Nothobranchius furzeri: one gene and its partner. The protein of the gene in region 2 purifies or fractionates together with the protein of the main gene of each other region. This does not show direct contact. Links are inferred from orthologs where the notes say so. Each region holds a gene or a part of one and is shown on either strand. Other genes may lie near its edges.

The links. Proteins that work in one complex are often made in the same cells at the same time.
Region 1: the proteins of irak1 (region 2) and peli3 purify together in Homo sapiens (affinity purification with western blotting; 7 studies listed by BioGRID and IntAct, with this or other methods). This does not show direct contact. The link is inferred for Nothobranchius furzeri from reciprocal best matches to the Homo sapiens genes IRAK1 and PELI3.

The regions. Positions count from the first base shown.
Region 1 is NC_091743.1:86,669,490-86,673,241, reverse strand, and holds the start of peli3 (E3 ubiquitin-protein ligase pellino homolog 1), read right to left. Parts: upstream 2,257-3,752; 5' UTR 2,099-2,256; exon of another isoform or gene 2,061-2,098; intron 1,900-2,060; exon of another isoform or gene 1,727-1,899; intron 1-1,726. UniProt on the Homo sapiens protein: E3 ubiquitin ligase catalyzing the covalent attachment of ubiquitin moieties onto substrate proteins. Involved in the TLR and IL-1 signaling pathways via interaction with the complex containing IRAK kinases and TRAF6.
Region 2 is NC_091755.1:47,789,755-47,793,461, forward strand, and holds the start of irak1 (interleukin-1 receptor-associated kinase 1), read right to left. Parts: upstream 2,918-3,707; 5' UTR 2,029-2,917; coding exon 1,917-2,028; intron 1,064-1,916; coding exon 896-1,063; intron 434-895; coding exon 332-433; intron 1-331.

The DNA of each region.
Region 1 (3,752 bases), on a different chromosome or scaffold from region 2:
CCTAGCATATCTAGTAATAACGCCGGTAAAGGTGCTATTCCTCAGCAAGCAGCGCCTCTCAGTTACCGGTGCCAGCTTATCATCAATCAGATCAGTAGTTTGCTTCAGAATTTATATAGCCTCCTGCTGCTGGGCAGTAGTCTTAATTTTGGCCCCCATACCGCGCCATAGTAATCCAGGTCTCACTGTCATTGCCCACTTCAGAATCCCCCCAGCTGGACTATGGAGACTAGAGTCCTCGGATTGTCCATCACTTGGCGCGGGTTTTCCAAAAATAGCTGCAGTTTGACACATAGGGGCAAATAACAGTCAGATACTGAAGATACAGGAGAGCTAACCCGCACTCTACAGGAAAAGAGTCTCTAAGACGAGCAAGAAGCCCATTTGTCTCCTGACCTCCTGCAGAGAGGACGGGTTCCAGAGCCACTGTGGGGGTGAGCGCACCACCAGACAACAGGCCAAGAACTCAGGTTAAAGGAGACCAAATACAAAAAGATGAAACTGTGCAGGATCTGGTGTGTTGTACAGAAAACAGAGCACATCAGCACAAACACATCACTAGTCCGGCTCTGTGGTTCCTCACAGACCAGAGTTAGCATGTGATGCTAATAATCAGGGCTGCTGATAAGCACAAAGGCCATGATAACAAAAGTGTGTTTTTACGTGTTTTGCTTCATCAGAAACACCAAATCCAAAGATCCGTGTGGCAACATCCGCTCCGTAAAGTCTGGAAGAATGGTTTGTTGTAGCGTGACACCAAACGAGAGGACTGGTGGAAGCTGAACCGCGCGCTGTCCCAGATGGATGCAGGCGACGGTTTCAGTACACTGAATAATGCAAACTGGTTTTAAACGACTCGTATTTCTGACACGGAGAGAGTGAGCTTCCCCCGACAGCGTCGCGTCTTAGTGTAAACTCTGCATGAAAACTCGGTGAGGTCCGACACTTCTGCTGCTGTAACGTCTCCGTTCAGAGGGAAACCAACAGTCTGGGTCTTCCTGCCTCCCTTACTACCTCTGCCCTAACATCTGCCTGATACACCTGGTGTTACCTGCTGAGCCAGGCGTTTGTTCAGTTCAAAGTGACTCAAAGGAGTGGAGTGCCCACCCGTCTTCCACATGCCTGGCACAATCCCTGGTTAACATCCTGAGCTAAATGTTGAGGTTCATTTCATTAAGGATAACAAGTATGCTAAGTACTTAGTGCTTGTAGTGTACTAAAAGGTGTACTAGTTTACCGCTCCAGCAAAGTTGGAGATCACAATGTGATGAAGCCACCAGGACCACATCATCTGGAAACAGCAGACCTGATGGATCCCCCCTGATGTCCATTGCAGAGCAACCAACTCAGCCAGAGCCTATGGACCAAGGGACCTCCGCCACCCCGGGCGGACTACTGACCGATAGAGGCATCAGTTTGGATTTCAGCACTAACCCTGAAACATCTGCTGAGTTTAAGGGGAATGGACATTAGTAACCACGTGACCCCCAGGCAATGTCTTCACGACCTCTACGCGCAGGAAAATCCCCATTTACCGACTGATGCTGGAGGACACTGAACGCACCACGTGGTGTCGTCTCTGCAGCACTAGATGGTTTATGATCAGGGTGAGTTCAGGTTCATCACGCGTCCTGCGATCCACATCCACCCAGCCAAACCACGAGACCGAACCGAGCCTGAGCCCAGACGGCACGCTCATCAGTGTTGGATCGGAACACGGACCCACCTTTAATCAGACAGTGCAGACCAGCCTGGAACCGTCTAGAAGCCTCACACCGGTCCGGTAATGCGCTACGGAGGCTGGACTGGTTCCAGATCAGCCATCGCTCGTCAGCCCGGTTGTTGCGGTTCCCGAGCTTTACCCCTAACGGGTCTGACCGGAGACGCGCCTCGGTCCCTCTTCATCAGAAAACATGGCTGTTAGTGACGTGCGCACGGGCTCGGTGCACACACACACACACACACACACACACACACACACACACACACACACACAGAGCATCCTCCCGTCTAGAAGCCTTACAGCGGCTGGTATAAGCACCATTAGAGCCTCCACCCACCTCCTCCTCCCCGGATGCTGATGGAGGAGCAGCTTTACCTGCTGATGTCTGCCAGGAGAGGTCCAGCAACGGCTTGGTTCTCCCAGGTTCCCGCTGTGGGCTCCGTCAGTTCCCGCACGGTTCGGGATCCATTAAGGGTACCAGCAAGAGGAACGAGAGGCGGAGAAGAGCGTGGCCACGTCCCACCCCTCCCTCCCTGAGACACGTCCTGATGTCAGCAGACAGCCCGGTGACGCGGCCACATCTCCTCCCACCTTCTGGTCCCCTACACGATCAGGGGGTCCAAAGGCAGCTTTCAGCCCCGGTACCGGATCGTGACAGCATCATCATCATCATCAGTTTCGAATTATAAACCATCCATCACACCCGAACCAGCACCACCAACTGGTACCAGATCGGTTTCTATGTTCTGCTTCACCTGGTTAGGGTTGAAGTTGATGACGGTGTGAATCAGCGATGGTGAGTTCACGGAATAGAAAACATGGCTTCATTACAACATCTGAGCTTCAGAGCAGCTGACCAGGCCCGTTTATGGATTCAGCTTGTGTGTGTGTGTGTGTGTAAGAGCCACACTTACCTGCAGCACTCAGAACCAGATGCATCTAAAAACCATCCACTCAGTCATTATTCAATTTTTATACTAAAGCACAAAACATGGGAAAAAAAACCCATCATGGATACATTCAGATCCCAACAAACACATTTACCGCAGAGACACGCCGTAAACAGGAAGCCACGTGCTCCGGTCAGAGCTTCGGGTTACTGCGAGATGCTGCAGGTCTGACTTTTACTGGCTTCCAAGCTCCACGTGTTTATCGTGTAACAGGTGGACCACCGGCTCAAAAAACATCCAGAACAACGTTCAGCACGACAAAAGTCTTTTAATAAAGTAAAACTGGAAATGAGACCAGAGTTGGTTTTCTAGAAGAACTGCCTCCTGGGGAGGAGAGGGTTTCTTCAGCCATTAGATCCCGTGGCGACATCTTCATCATCAGGAGGACACGCAACAAAATCTGCCAACATGGAGGCCACGGCTTCCTCGTCCAGCTGAGGAACAGAGACACACGGCTCGTTAGGCGCTTGGAGACAGAAGCACAGAAATCCACACAAACAACTCAATTCCATGCAAGAAATCACAGAGATCCATGAAAATAACCCAGTCTAGAGGGACTGACCGCAGCGTGGCCGCTTCTAAACTGATGTCCCATGATCCTCTGTGATAAATATGCTTGTTGTTGTTTGTTCGTTCATTTTTATGTAGCTTCTACCCAAATGAATGCTAAACGGCCCGCACTTGTACAGTCAGAGGACTCCAAAGCGCTTTCGGCCCCAAAGAGACGTGCATACACGTGGGGAAGAACATTTTAACTGGGATTTGAACTAGCAACCATCTTGCCGTGAGGCAGCAGCGTCACCAAATCCAGCAGCATGCGACTCAGAGACTGGAGCTAATTGCGGGAATATATTTGGCCATAGCTGCACCCCAATTAGCCGTTAGCTCAGACTAGCTGCTACAGCTTTCCTTCCTGAAGGACACAAGCTATTTCTCTGAACGGAGGCCTTTCGGGCAGCCATGAACAGCTGACACAGGGACTACTTATAACTTCTGCACAGAGGGGCAGCAGTAGCTCAGGAGGAAGAGTGGGCTGTCCAGAAATCTTAGGGTGTCCAGTTCGATCTCAGCTCATTCTT
Region 2 (3,707 bases):
CAGTCATTCACCCATTCACACACACATTCACACACTGGTGGGGATGAGCTACGATGTAGCCACAGCTGCCCTGGGGCGCACTGACAGAGGCGAGGCTGCCGAGCACTGGCGCCGCCGGTCCCTCTGACCACCACCAGCAGGCAACGTGGGTTAAGTGTCTTGCCCAAGGGCACAACGACAGCGACAGACTGAGCGGGGCTCGAACCTGCAACCTTCCGATTACGGGGCGAGCACTTAACTCCTGTGCCACCGTCGCCCCAATGATGATGATGATGGAAAACAGATGGAGAACAGCTGATCAGAGCAATGGGCAGGCTTGTTTTGGGTCTACCTGTGGGCTGCTCATACGGTGGAGGAGAAGGGAGACGAGGAGGAGGTGGCGGAGGAGGAAGAGGAGGAGGAGCAAAGGAGGAAGGATTCATCGCCTGAGTCCCTGCAGACATAAGAAGGGGTGAACATTCTTCTAATATGGAGCCTAAGTCACGTCCATCTACTTCCGGACCATGGGAGGAACGAAAAAATGAATGCACGTTATGCTAATTACGACCTTCCCCTCTGTGTTGGACAAGCCCAGTCACTGACTCGGTTCGAGTCGCTGCTGACATCCTTCTTTCTACCACCGTACAGCACTTTGGTCAGCTGCTGCACGGCGCTTTAAACGTGCTTTATGAATAAACCTGGTGCGGTACGATCGACCTCCACGTACGTGACAGGCGTGGTCGAAACACACTTCATTGCTTTTCATTTAAATTGCAGGACAACGTGTGCGATCCAGGGCGTGAGGCAAAGCGACTTGCATTCATTTTTTGGTTCTTTCGGAGACCCGTGAGCCGACCGGAGAGGGAGGAGACTTGGGCTCCCTGTATATAGGGTCAGAGGTCAGAGGTGTACTTACAGGTCAAGATGACATCTCGTGGCCTAAAAAGCTGCAGCGACTCTAACAAGTCAATCAGCTCTCCAACTCGACCGTTCCTGCATCCCCATTGGTTCATCACCCAGTCGGTCCGCTGGGCCTGCCTCTCAGCCAGTCGCACAGCCGTCTGGTCTTTCAGCACCTCCGAGGCTGCAGACAGAACGGTAAATGGTCTGTATTTGATATCGCGCCTTCTAGAGTCCTGGAACCCCTCAAGGCGCTTTACAACACAACCAGTCATTCACCCGTTCACACCCTGGTAGGGATGAGCTATGATGTAGCCACAGCTGCCCTGAGGCACACTGACGGAGGCGAGGCTGCCAAGCACAGGCGCCGCCGGTCCCTCCGGCAGGCAGGGGGGTTAAGTGTCTTGCTAAAGGAGCGACAAACTGAGCGGGGCTCAAACCTGCAACCTTCTGCAATCTCCTGTGCCACTGTCACCTCACTCAAGGGAAGGATTTGAGAATGTTGTGGAGCTGCTTCATCCCGAGTGGAGTCTCAGGGGAAAGAATGGAATAAATTCCATTGCCGTCTGGTCAGTTTAAATAAATATGTAAATATTTAGAAGATTTAATTAAATTTACCGCATTAAAAATAAAATTCTGTTAAGACTGCAGCAGAATATTCACGGGGAATGGAAAGCTGTGCAAATGAGACATGAATGAGTGAAAACCCGAAACTGGAAATAAGAAGTAACTAAATGCAGCAGGAATGTTTAACAAGTCACTGGGACAGGTGTGACGTTTGAACCAGGTGAGAGGCGGGGCTACACCTGCTCCACAACGGGCAAAAATCACAGCCAAGCTTCTCCGGGTCAACCCTGGGAGGGGGTGCGTGGGGGTCCTGTTTGTCGCTCCAGGTGTGGGCGGGGCCACATGACAGCAGAACAATCAGCTGAGACACTTCAAAGCAGACCGTCGCCCGCAGCACGTGACTCTGGTCAGGTGTAGATTGATACGGATCCAGGGGACCTGTTTGTCGAGTGTTCTAGAGGGGAACTCACCGAACCGGGTCCAGTCCAAGTCCGACAGTCCGTCCATGACTCGGCAGAACTCCCAGTTGACGGGAGAGGGAAGTTTGAATAGGAACTGTTCTCGTCGGAACCCTCCCGCCATTTTTGCTCGAGAACCGAACTCCTCCACTTTACAGAACCGAGTGGGTCACATCAGAACCAGGTTGAAAAACAACTCTTAACAAACCCGAAAGTTTCTCTTCACCTTGTACTTCCGCTTATTGAGGAAACCAGCCCACTGGAAGGCGACACGCTTCCGGTGGGCCTGACAAAATAAAAGCCCCCCAAGACTTTTTTTTCCTTTACTGGTTGGATGTGTTTTTCAAATGTAAGCCTATTGGTGATAAACAACCCACCATTTATAATTCATTAAATGAATGTTTTTGTTTTTAGATGAGAGTGTAATATCTGGGTTTCTGCTGTAGCTGCTGCTGTCCAGTAGGGGGCAGTGACAGCAGTAGGAAAATACGCTCGTCAATACTAAGCAACTTTTTCATTTTTTTAAACAATTTGTCTTGAAATTAGTCTGTGCTAAAATTACACTTTAAATAAAAAATGGCCCCCTAAGGTGCTTTACAACACAATCAATCATTCAAACATTCACACAAGCACATTTGGGGGGTGGAGGTCAGAACACGGGTTGCTCCACTAGATCAAGATGTTAAAAGCACACAGCAGAACTAGCACCATTCCTGAGTCGATGCCATCTTTGTAGTTTTTCTCCATCATAGCTCTGGTGCTGAGGCCATCCAATAAACATAGAGTGATGTGAATTGCAAGAAGCAAAACTCTTCAGGCCAGTGGTAGATCTGCTGAGGCTGTCATGTAGTGTGGCCAGACCGACCTGCAGAGCCAAGTCTTTTGCCACTACTACCATTAGATCGATTTCTAGGCAAATGCAGGGAAAATGAAAGTGAATATGCCTCTTCAGTAATTTTGTTGAATCCATGTTCTTTTCGCTAACATTTCTTTGAACATGTTTGGTCTGATTTATGAAGATTAAGTGTGAGTGCTTTCACAGATGTGTATATTTCATAATTCTGTTGCCAATCTGAACAAAATATGTGTTGAGATAAATTAAGGGAATAAAACAATCAGGAAAAAGACAAATCACTTGAACTAAATGACTGGAAATGAAACTGCTTTATTGTCTGTCCCAGAGGTGACAGAAGTTCTGCCTCATGAATAACATAGTACAACATAAGCCACGATGGAGAATACGGGCAGCAGGTCCATCAGGACTGTCCAGCTGATGTTATGTCACATGGTGGTCCAAAATACCTTCTAGGTTTCCAAATCACCCTTAATTATGCATGCCCCAACCCTCTTCCGAATCTGCCATTATAAATGTTGGTAGAAGTAATGCTGAACCGCAGAGCTACTGCAAACGCTAACCTGAGCTACAGCTAACGTCCTTGTTGGACAAGAGGAAAACAACAAAGAAGAAGAATGTCAGAGCACACAATGTCCAGGAAGTTCTGGGAATATCCAGACTATGAATAAATGCCAGATAGACCGATAGTTCCCCTATTAAGTTATCTGGATACTGGACACAGAGGATGTTTCTCAATGTCAAGGCGCCTGGCCTTGCGAGGCGATGTCTTGTGAGGCCAGGCGCCTTGCTTACGAGGACACGGTCCTTCCTTGGTCAAAGAAAACGGTTAAATGGAACAGACTTGCATCACGTGACCGTGGCTTCCATGGCGGTCACGTAACGTCACGTGACACGGGAGATGAGGTCATATTTTATATGTATTAGTTTCAATATAAATATATAACGAG